Struthio camelus: one gene and its partners. The protein of the gene in region 1 purifies or fractionates together with the protein of each later gene. This does not show direct contact. Links are inferred from orthologs where the notes say so. Each region holds a gene or a part of one and is shown on either strand. Other genes may lie near its edges.

Region 1 (3,743 bases):
CCCCCGCCCCGAAACCCCCGCGGCCCGGCGGCTACCTGCCGGTGGAGGAGCTGGCCGCCGGCGGCTGCGAGTAGCTGGGGTAGGAGGAGGGCTGCCCGTAGGAGGTCTGCGACGACTGGCTGCCGCCGTAGCCGCTGCTCGTGCCGTAGGCCTGCGGCGTCGACTGGGTGCTGTAGCCAGCTGGGAGAGAGGAGGAGGAGGAGGAGGAAGGAAAGCTCCTGCGGGCACGGCGGAGGGGCCCCGTCCCCGCAAGGCCGGCAGGCGCCGGCCACACTCACTGCTTTGGGTCTGGCCGTAGGAGGAGCTGTAGCTGTTCTGCCCGTAGCCCGAGGTGTCGGTGGACTGGCTGTAACCGCTGTAGCTCTGCTGCCCGTAGGGCTGGCTGCTCTGCTGCGAGTAGCCCTGCCCCGGCGGGGTGGGGTACGCCCCGTAGCTGGCGGCCCAGCGAGGGAGGGGAGAAAGGCGCCGTCAGGCCCAGCGCGGGGGCGGCAAACGCCGCCGGAGGAGCCGCGGCCCGGCCGCGGCCCGGCCGCGTTCCCCCGCCCCGCGCGCAACGCCCCGAGCTGCGACGTACCTCTGGGTTGCCGTCTGGCTGTAATCTGCGAGAGGAAAGAGGAAGGGACACGCCATCGCGTCGCCGCCGTTTCCTCACGGCTCGCGCGACGCGTCGCCCGCCCGCCCGCCGGGATCGCCGCGTTTCGGGAGGCGGGCAGGGAGCGTCTGAGGCCTCTCCGGCCCTGGGGAAGGCCGGAAGGGGACCCGCCGCGAGCAGAGCCGGGGGGGGGGGCGGCTCCCACCCTCCCCCCGAGCCAGGGCTTCAGCCGCACGCTGGGAGCCCCGAGAAGAACCCCAGCGGCGGGGACGAAGGCCGACCCCTCTCCCCCAGGGCGCAGCCGGGGGCACAAGCACCCAGCCTGGGGGTGGGGGGGGGGTCCGTTTGCCCACCCCGACACGCTCTAACCTGGAAGGTGGCGTTTATTCCCCAGCCCAGCCCCTCACTTGTTACGGGCGCTACGGTTACGGCGCCAAACACCAAACGAAGCGCGCCCAGCTCCACCAACGCCCCCAAACCACCGTCTTCCCCCCCCCGAAAGCGCCAGAAACGATGTTTCCCCACCAACAAAGACAACAAGCGCTGATTTCTCTCCGCTTTGTCGGGAGCGGACCGTTACCCCTCCCCCACACCGCAAGAGGAAGCGATTCCCCCCCCCATCAATAAGCCCAGCAATATTCACCCAGGCCGCGGCGGGTATTTACCCGCCTCGGGCACCTTCATATTATCCCCCCCCCCCCACACACACACACTTTTAAGTCCCCGGATGTCGGACTGCGGCAGCCACCGCCGCGCATGCGCGCTCCCCCTCCCGCCGCCGCGCATGCGCCGCCGCGTCGCGCCCCCCTCTCCCGCCGCCGCCGCGCATGCGCGCTCCGCCGCGCGTCCCCCTCTCCCGCCGCCGCGCATGCGCCGCCGCGTCGCGCCCCCTCTCCCGCCGCGCATGCGCGCTCCGCCGCGCGTCCCCCCCTCTCCCGCCGCCGCCGCGCATGCGCCGTCGCCCCCACCCTCCCGCCGCCACCACGCACAAAATGGCGCCCGCGAGTGGCGCAGTTGGAAAAGCGGCGCCCCGCCCCCGCGCCACACAAAATGGCGGCCGGCAGCCGCGGGAACCAAAGGGCTCCCTCCTCCCTCCCCCCCCATCCCCGCCTTCAAAGGCTTCGCCTCCCTTCCAGAACCTTCCTTTTCCCTCTTCTTTCAGTCACTTATGCTCATTTTTCCCTCCCCACCGCCACCGCTTCCCGCATCCGGGCCGCCAGCAACACCCCCGGCGGCACCACCGTGCCGCTCCGTAAGCGGTGGGGGGGGGGGGGAACTACCCGTTATATCACCCCCCCCCAAAAAAAAAAAACACCCACAACAAGCTGCAAAAAAACCCGCGCACCGCCAACGCATGAGGAGATTAAACGTTAAAAAAAAACCCAATCCCACCCTGGGGGCCGCGCGGTTCGCAAAGCGTGTGGGGGGGGCAACACCCCCCCCCCATAACGATTAAAAAAAAAAAATCTCTATCTCGCTTATCGCTCCCGTAGGTAAAATTAAGAGGAAACGGGGCGGCGAGCGCCGAGCTAGGGACATCCCCCCCCTTCCCGGTACCGGCGGCCCCCCTCACCGTTGGAGGCCATGGCGGTGTCGCGCTGCTCCGGCGCCCTTTCTTTGCTCCCCCCCTTTCCTCCCCCCTCCCCTCACACGTGGCGCACCCGCGCCCGCCCTGCCCCGCACTGCGCCCCCGCCCGCCGCCCGCCGCCTTTTTATAGCTTCCGCCGGACCGTACCACCGCCACGCGCGGGCTCGGGGGGAGGGGGAGGAGGGAGCCAAGCGGGTTCCCCCCCCCCCCCGGTCGGCACCGCCTCCGCCTTCTCCCTCCCCCCCCCTCCCTCCCTGCGGGATGGAACGCGCCGAGGGAAGGGAGGGGCGGGGCCGGGCAGGCGGGGCGAGACCATTCGCGGCGGCGGCGGGGGGGGGGAGAGAGGGGGGAGGCGCCTGGTCCCGCCCCCTCCCAAGCAGCCTATAGGGGGCCTGTAGGGGGCCCTATAGGGAGCCTATGGGGAGGGGCTATAAGGGGCCTATAGGGGGTCCCCAGGAACCGCCCCCCAGCTCCGCGGGGACCCTACGGCCAGCCCTGCCCCCCCCATGGAGACCCTATAGGGAGCCCCTGCCCCATAGGGAACCCCTGCCCCATAGGGAGCCCCTGCCCCATAGGGAGCCTGTGCCCTATAGCAGTGCCTGCCCCATAGGGAGCCTGTGCCCTATAGCGGTGCCTGCCCCATAGGGGCCCTGCCCTATAGGGACCTCCTGCCCTATAGGGACTCTGTGCCATATAGGGAGCCCCTGCCCCATAGGGGCCCTGCCCTATATGGAACCCCTGCCCTATAGGGAGTCTGTGCCCTATAGGGAGCTCCTGCCCTATAGGGAGTCTGTGCCCTATAGGGAGCCCCTGCCCTATAGGGGCCCTGCCCTATAGGGAGTCTGTGCCCCATAGGGAGCTCCTGCCCTATAGCGGTGCCTGCCCTATAGGGAGCCCCTGCCCTATAGGGACTCTGTGCCCTATAAGGAGCTCCTGCCCTATAGCGGCCTCCACATGCAGCCTCCCCCCGGGGGGTCTCCACGGGCCCCTATAGGGTTCAGCCCTCTCCACGGGCCCCTATAGGCTTGACCCCCACTGGGGGGTCTCCAGGGGCGCCAGGTGCCGTCGGGAAGGGCACAAAAAGCCCCCAAAAACGCCTTTCTCGGGCGTAAAACGCCGCCCTGGGCGGGGGACGGCCCCCCCATGGCGTTGGCGGGGCCCCCTATAGACTCCCCCTATAGATCTGCCCCATATAGACCCCCCACCCACCCCTTCCCTCCCAGGATTTGGCCGCCCCCAAATGTCAGGGCTAAAAACAGCCCCGGGAGCCTACGGGGCCCCTATAGGGTCCGGTGCCGCGTACGGAGCTCTATAGGGTCCAGCACGGGGTAGGGAGCCCGCGGCGGTCTATAGGGGCCGGCCCCACCTAGGGAGCGGTGGGGGGAGCTGGGGGGGTTGTATAGGGCCTGGCGCTGGGCAAGGGGCCTATGGGGGTCGTATAGGGCCAGTGGGGGGGTCTCCAGGGGCTCCTATAGGGCCAACCCCGAGGAGGAAGGACGGGACCCCGAGGAGGAAGGACGGGACCCCGAGGAAGACGACGGTGACCCCCAGGGAGGAAGGACA
Region 2 (3,743 bases), on another chromosome or scaffold:
GTAAGAGAGTCAGTACAGATCATCAGTTACAGAAACATTCATCTTTACTGACGATATCTGCTACTGATTGTGCTAATCTGAGGTTAAAAAAAAGTCAGATATTTATGAATCTAAGTAACTCTAACAAAATGAATAGTCTCACTGAAGTCAGCTGGAGAGTCAAACTGTGAATAAGTTTACAAAGAATTGACTGCAAGATCAGACAGTAAAACAGCTGGGTATTATAAATATTTGCTCTTTGGCTATCCAGAAGAATACAATGTATTTTGCATAAAAGTCATATAGTTTCAGTTCTTCATTCTTATACACAGTAAGACTGTATGTTGACCTGAAAGAAGTGAGCCCTACATCATTCCTGAAATGCAGCCTCTCACAGAATTTACCTACTCACCTGGAAGTAACTGACACTTCACAATCTCATTACAAGTAATAATCATATTCCAATTCCAGTTAAACTGATTTAAATCTAGGGATATTTCACTGGTTTATCAAGAGTTCTCATTTCAATTAAGTGGAAATTTAGACTGATCCAAAACAATCTGCTCTGGTACTATTGTGCCGTCGTTTATCAACTAAATAAACTAAATCAATTTATTCAATTCCAAAGCACAACAGCATAACTTTCCATGCTAAAGAGTCATCTACAACTTGCTCATGACAGAAGGAAAATAGAAAGCTTGTATTCAGTTGTCTTATAAATGAACCAGCACTGAGAAGGTTAAACTTCTAAACGGAGCTTGACTACCAGGCTGGGTCACCCAAAATTTAAGAGAAGTATTTATGAAAAGATGGTTGCTAGTCATTACAAATACTTCCAGACCTTAAATAGATGGGCATACCAAAGTGAACCCTGACGCATCAAAACTTCCAGTGTAATAGCCCAAGAATAAGATTTTTCATGTAAAACATACAAAATCTTTACAAATAAGCATTTAAGCACTTACTTATGCAACACCTCCGTTTTAAAAGAGAAGTATTTGTCAACAATCAAATTCTTTACACAAAACCAGATTACACAAATTTTAAGGCACATTAAGTATCATGACAATGTTTTCAACTGTGTTCCTTTAAGTAACTGTATATAAATCTGCATACTCAAATTCAGTCACTAAACTCCTAAAAAAAAGCTGGGATCTGAACAATCTCAGGCTCACCAAAGTGTTTACTCCAATGTCCTTGTGTTAAACTAAGCTGGAAAGCTCATAGTGGAAAAACACCAGAACTCTCCTCTCTGTAAAGAAACTAAAACGATCTTTAAATTTAATTTCTGAACATGAAACAGTGGGTGTCAAGATAAAGCAAGAACACAGCTATCTCTCTCCACAGAGAGAGCTAAATATTAAGTTACAATTCAACATATAAACAAAATATTCCTGATCTCTCAGTGGGAGGGAAACAAAAAAAAAAAAACACTCATTCTTAACATGGCAGACTGGATTTCGATTAATAACAAAACCCACATATGCTTATCATTATCCTTGAGAATGAAGGCCTAAACTATTTGTAATTTAAAGGAGAGAAAGGGACAATCTCTCCCGAATTTAGTTCTTAATTTTCTCTTTAGAAAAGCTTGGGATAGGAGTCTTATGATTTCTTAATTCTTTAAAAAAAAAAAAAAAGTCAAAGTCTCAAGCCATTTATATACTGCTATACCAGCCTATGTTATGCTTACCCTAATGATACCCAGAGCACATTATATTTATTACTACCGTCCTCAGAGAAAAATCAAACCTGCATAAACCTTTTCTAAACCAAACTTTCTTGAGATAGTAGTATCAAGAGTATCAAATACCAGGCCTTCGCAGTGCCACAGAGACAACTTCTCTTTGATTGCTACCTAAGTAAGCTTGGTCATGCTTTTTAAGTGTGGTCCAGGGCCATGTTTACTGAGATCAGGCTCCTGAGAATGCAACTCCCCTGCATGGTAGCAGTTTTCAATTCTATTTCCTCTCCGGATAAGCCTGGGAGTGCTACTGAGAAAGATCTTTCACCAACTGCCATCTTTCTGAAAAGTCCAGAAGGAGCAATGACAACCCGAAGGGCAGAGTATCCAACCACCCTTTCCAGGGCCACCAAGACCTTCGTTATTTCCAGGGGGGAGTACGATGAAGGAAAATGGAGGTGGCAGGAAAAAAAAAAATTAATAATAACGCGGGGGGGGGGGCAGGAGGACCTTAAAATTGAAAGTGAGGCACATGGTTACACGTGAAGGAAGGAAAAGCAAAATTAAAACAATAACCACCACCCCTTGCTGCCAGAACCCCGGTAGGAATAACGTCTCCAGCTCCCACCCCACCCTGGAATAAAGATATAGGGTGAAAAAAAACTGTCCCAAATACCGCAGCCACGATCAACCTCCCCCCCCTTTACTGCCCCACGATTCCCTCCCGCCCGCCTCCCCCTCGCCTGGCTCCTAAGCCAAAGGAGGGGGCCCCCTCCACCTCCCCCCCCACCGCGCCGCGCCCCCTCCCCCAGGCCCAGCCTTCCCTCCCTTCCCCCCCTCCCCTTACCCGCCGCGGTCTCGGTCGCGGCCCCGGTCTCCGAAGCCTCTCATGGCACCCGGGGGGGTGGGTGAAAGGCAGCGGAATGCTGGCCGTGGGGAGGGTGAGGGACTAGGGGTACGGGGAGAGGGTCCAGCCAGGGGCGGCTGTGCCTCGGCGGAGTCGCTTTGCGCCACCTCGCTTCTTGGGAGGGATACAAAAGGAGAAGAAGTGGTCAGTGGGTCAGAGACCCGCTGAACGTCGGCGGACGGGACGGCGGGGTTCTCGGTAGGCTCCAGGGCCCGTGAAGTGTGGAGACACCAGCGTCTTCTTCCTCCGGGCTCCCGGCACAAAATGGCTGCCGCCTCTCCAACCCGCTTCACTTACGTTACGGGCGGCCCGGCGCTGCGCAAATTCCGGCCCTCGAAAATATCTGCACCTATTCTCGGAACCCAACTACGCCCTAAGCGCTCTTCGCGAAACACTGTTCCGCACAGCGGGCAGGTTACGAAAGTTACGTAGTGTTCTGTGCTTAAGCGGGGCCCCTGCGTCAGGAGGGGAGGGGGGAGAGTAACACTCTCCCTATTCCTCAAAGTCTGCTACGTAAGGAGTCGATCTTGCAACCCCTTCTGGACGGTAGGGAAAACCCAGGCCGAGCCGTACGTTACGTAAGAGCACTGCGTACGCAAGTTGCGCAACTCGGGCTGGCGTAGGGGAGGACGAGCCCGCCCGTTTTGCGTAAAATTCTTCCGTAGGTTTTGCTGGAAGGGCTGGCGGATTACGTTAACTTTGCAGCGTAGTCGAGCTTGGAGAATACGGCCTTTTGCCTACGCGGCCGCTGTCCCCCTGGAAGGCGGCTTCGGGGCTGAGGAGACAATAGCGGAAGCGCGGGTGCCCGCGGCCTCTGCGGCGGCTCCAGCAGGACTGCGCGGGGCCGGTTATGTTTGGTTTCTTCGCGCCTTTTTTTCCTCGCAGATGCCTGGAGGGGATCTTGGCGCCGCGCACAGCGCTGAACCCGTAACAGGAGCGACAGCAGCCATGATGTTTGCTTTCTCCTTATTTCTAGGAGGCTGGAAGAAACTGGTGTAATGCATCCAAAAATGGCTTAATACTCGGCCCTGGTGACCCCCCTCCATAACTGCAGGAGCCTCATAGCAACGTCTCCAGAAAGTCAACTGCTAAAGAATTCACACTTTTGCTAACTATAATGTTATTCCATGGGGTGATACACTGAATGTTTACAAATGGAACATGCAAAATGTA
Region 3 (3,743 bases), on another chromosome or scaffold:
TTTGATCTAACTCCAATTGCTCAGAGCTTCCTTCCTTCATGGGTTTACTCGAATACCTCGAGTTACCTATTGCTCTGAACTTAGCCCTCACCATCCATCTCCATCCCTCCTCACCACTCTACGTGTCTGGGGAGGTAAAGGGCTGCATTTAACATGAGGACCAATTAGATGCTAGCAATGTAGAGATCCATTAGTGGAGCGGAGATGGGGCTTACACATTTATTTGTAGCACTGGAAGCTCAGAGGTGAAGAGGCCTGCTCTTTTCAAGGAGAGTTCCACCATGAAATGAAGAGAGCTTGCTAAGATTAACACATGAACTTGAAAAAAACATGCCTGGCTAACACTTACATCGGTAGATGTCTCCCATCCTCCCAATGCACATAAGCAGAGAAAATTGCGCCTTTCAAAGCATCAGCATCCCCCCTGCCCCCGCAACAGATGAAGGGCATAAATCAAAGTGAGGGAAAGGGATTTTCTTGTTCCTATGGAAAGGGAAGGCCATGTAGACCCCGAGTCATAAAAGTGAGGAGACATGGATCCTATTCCAAAGGGTAAGAAACCCCAGTTTTCGATTTCTATTCGGGGTGCTGTGCTACAGAACCCTAAAAGGTAGCCACTTTTCTCCCTTTTGATCACACAGCCCATTGTTCAAGAATTAGGATTATGTCACTGCGTTGCCCTTCATCTTGCTCCTAAACAATGCTGATTTCTTTCAGAAAAGCTAAGCAGCACTAGAACCACACAAGTATTTTGGACTACTTTAAAATACTGTTTTTAAACAAGATGTCTTAGTTTCAGTGCAGAACTCCTGCAGGAGTTCCTCCGGAATGCAGCATGAACTTGCATTCTTGAGAAAAGGCTGGCATAGGGATAGGGATACTGCTGCTGTTCCGTGACCAGTCGTTTTGAAAGCCTGTCTGAAAAATCATTTTGATGAAGTCACGCTGCACACACGCATTACAATCTTTGACCCAGACTTAAATTCCAAAGTGAGATTTTTCAGCTGGCTCTTCAACACGACATACTCAAAGGGTGCCACAGCAGTAGAGAAATTCTGAGCAATCCAGGTCAGTTGGGGAACAGCTGGTCATCTGTGCAAAAAGAGGCTCCTAAAACGGTGGCTTTATTTCAGATTCTCTCTCACGAGCCTCCTGCTTAGATCGCCCTAAGTTTGGGCTGCCTAGTGAATGCTCCCAAAGGACAGGAATTTTCAAATAACCAAAGCAAGGCAGAAGCATCTGGAGCTCTTCCAATGATCAATCCTAAGTCTCACAAAGCTGCGCTCTACTATCAGCAATTTTTAAATTGATGAAAAACTCATAAATCCTTGCGACAGCACTCAGTGAATGAAGCTTTGCTAAATGGGATGAGAACGCTGTTCTTTGAGCAGGAATTAGCAAATTCCTTAGGTTTCATTTCACCGCAAGGCATTATCACAGAGCTGTTGAGCATCAGCTGGCTAAAGGGTTTTATTAATAAAAAAAAATTGTGGCAAATCAGACTATAAAACTGATTTATGGAGATCAAGATGCCCATGAGCGATGCCAAGTCACTCATGACATTGACATATCTCAGTTACTTGTACAATGGGAGACAGCAAGTCTTAATAAAGTCTCTAGCACTGCAACGATTACAGCCACATTACATACTTTAAAGACTGTTTAAAAAAAAACATTTAGAAACAGAATGGTAATAACTAGAGAGCTAAGCACTCTGCTCATCTGTAAATCGAATCCGAGTTCATCCTTCTTGTGCTGAGCACATCCCAGCTCTCCACTCCATGCACATTAAGCAGTAAGTGGCAGAAATTGCTTAACTTGTTCCAATTTTTAAGCTAACTACAGTGTCGTGAGGCAGCTGAGTCTACTTGATACAGCCACCAAATGCGGGTGCAGCAGCTGCACTGGAGAGATAGGGAGAAATCAGAGCCGCCAGGCGATTGGACAGTGGTGATGGGGAAGGAGAAGGCTAGTCTGGGCACAGAACAAAGACTGCCATTTCCATTCCCTATTTAGGCTCATCAAAAGCATGAAACAAGCTCTAATACGGATTTCCAGAGTAGAAATGCAAAGAGATCACAAATCACGCCTCGCAGGGGCTCCAGCAGACGCTACCTGGAAAACCCCAGTCTTCACCGTTCTCTCGGGTCCCCTCTTCCCCCAGGGACGAAAAGGGGGAACACGACCGTACCTTGCTTATCAAAAAGAAAGTTCTAGGTTTGTGCTTAATCCAGGCTAAGCACGGAGGAGGGGGAGGGCGCTAAACAGAGATTAAATAATAGAAATATCTCGGTAACCCCCCCACCACCGAGGGAGGCGGGGCGCATCTCACCCGGGGCCGCTCCCCGGGGGCCCTCGGCGCTCGCAGCCCCGGGCAGGGCGGCCAAGAGGGGTCAGCGGCGGCCGGGCCCCCCCCCCCGCCCTGCCCGCCGCCCCCCCGGCCGCGGTACCTGCCGTGAGGAGCTGCATGGCGTGCGTGAAGGACGGGTCGAGGCTGTCCTTCTCGGCCATCAACTCCGGCAGGTATTTGTTCTCGGGCTCCATCTTGACGGCGGCCCCCGGCAGCAGCGGGGTGGGGGCGGCGGCGGGGGCCTGGGCGGCCGAGGCGGCCGCTGTGGCGCTGGGCGGTAGGAGCGGCGGCGGCTGCGCCCCGGTGGCGGCGGCGCCTCGGCCCCCCCCACCTCCTCCTCCTCCTCCTCCGCCGCCACCTCCTCCTCCTCCTCCTCCGCGGGGCGGCCGCCGCGGGGGGGGCGCCCCTTGCCGGGCGCCGCCGGGGCCCGGCCCCCGGCCCAGGCGGGCGGCGGGGTCGTCACGGCGCTGCATGCGGGCGGCGGGGGGCGGCGGCGGGCGCGGAGCGGGCCGAGCGCGGCGCTGCCACACCGTCCGCCGCGGCGCCACGGCCGGAAGTGAGGGGCCGGAAGGACCGCCCCCCCCTTCTGCCGCTCTCTCCCTCCCTCCCTCTCCCTCTCTCTCACTCCCCCCCCCCGCACTTCCCCGCCCCCCCCCACTCCGCCGCAGCTCCCGCGCGACCACCCCGCGCGCCTCTGCGCCTGCGCCGGCACGCAGCCGCGCGCCACCCCCCTCCCCACCCCGCCCCGCCCCGCCGCGCTCCTCACGGCCCGCCCCCTGGGCCGCGCGTGCGCCGCCCGCCGCCCGCGGGAACGAGGCGCGCTCTTGGGACGCATGCGCAGTGCCGGGCCCGCGAAAGCGGAAAGCGACACGTGGGGAGCGACGGCCGCCCCGCTGCCCTGACTGCGCATGCGCAGATGCAGCGGTGTGACATTAGTCACCAGCTGCCGAGAAACTTATCCCGCAGGGGATTCACAGCGCCTGCGTGTATGTGTGTATATGTGTGTGTGTGTGTGGGGGGGGGGAAGGTCTGTGTTGCGCATGCGCAGTGGCTGCCCGCTCGAGAACAAAGCGGCTGGCGCGCATGCGCCCTGTGGCTGTGCGTCTCTGTGGAGATAGGCGTGAGGTGCGAGGCGTGTCGTAGGCCCTGGGGTGGCGGAGGGGCTCCGGCCCGGGCTGCGGCCCGAGAGTGACGGCGGGGCAGTGCCTTGGGCAGCGCAAAGTGCCTGGGCCTCGGTGGGCGTGGTGAGCGGGGCACAGCCTGCTTTGGGAGTTGGGTCCTTGGCCTACCTGCCCCTGCAGCCGTGTGCTGTGGTATGAGGCCTCAGCAGTGCCTGTGTGGGAGCTGAGCCTTCCCCTGCCTGCCTGGGGCCTTGGCAGCACCTGTGTGGGAG

What was found.
Region 2: the proteins of FUS (region 1) and DDX17 purify together in Homo sapiens (affinity purification with mass spectrometry; 5 studies listed by BioGRID and IntAct, with this or other methods). This does not show direct contact. The link is inferred for Struthio camelus from reciprocal best matches to the Homo sapiens genes FUS and DDX17.
Region 3: the proteins of FUS (region 1) and KHDRBS1 purify together in Homo sapiens (affinity purification with mass spectrometry; 3 studies listed by BioGRID and IntAct, with this or other methods). This does not show direct contact. The link is inferred for Struthio camelus from reciprocal best matches to the Homo sapiens genes FUS and KHDRBS1.

What each region holds. Positions count from the first base shown.
Region 1 is NC_090973.1:351,584-355,326, forward strand, and holds the start of FUS (RNA-binding protein FUS), read right to left. Parts: upstream 2,295-3,743; 5' UTR 2,179-2,294; coding exon 2,166-2,178; intron 600-2,165; coding exon 575-599; intron 434-574; coding exon 279-433; intron 181-278; coding exon 36-180; intron 1-35. UniProt on the Homo sapiens protein: DNA/RNA-binding protein that plays a role in various cellular processes such as transcription regulation, RNA splicing, RNA transport, DNA repair and damage response. Binds to ssRNA containing the consensus sequence 5'-AGGUAA-3'.
Region 2 is NC_090942.1:58,322,786-58,326,528, reverse strand, and holds the start of DDX17 (probable ATP-dependent RNA helicase DDX17), read right to left. Parts: upstream 2,882-3,743; 5' UTR 2,555-2,881; coding exon 2,511-2,554; intron 1-2,510. UniProt on the Homo sapiens protein: As an RNA helicase, unwinds RNA and alters RNA structures through ATP binding and hydrolysis.
Region 3 is NC_090964.1:8,675,566-8,679,308, forward strand, and holds the start of KHDRBS1 (KH domain-containing, RNA-binding, signal transduction-associated protein 1), read right to left. Parts: upstream 2,680-3,743; 5' UTR 2,545-2,679; coding exon 2,451-2,544; intron 1-2,450. UniProt on the Homo sapiens protein: Recruited and tyrosine phosphorylated by several receptor systems, for example the T-cell, leptin and insulin receptors. Once phosphorylated, functions as an adapter protein in signal transduction cascades by binding to SH2 and SH3 domain-containing proteins.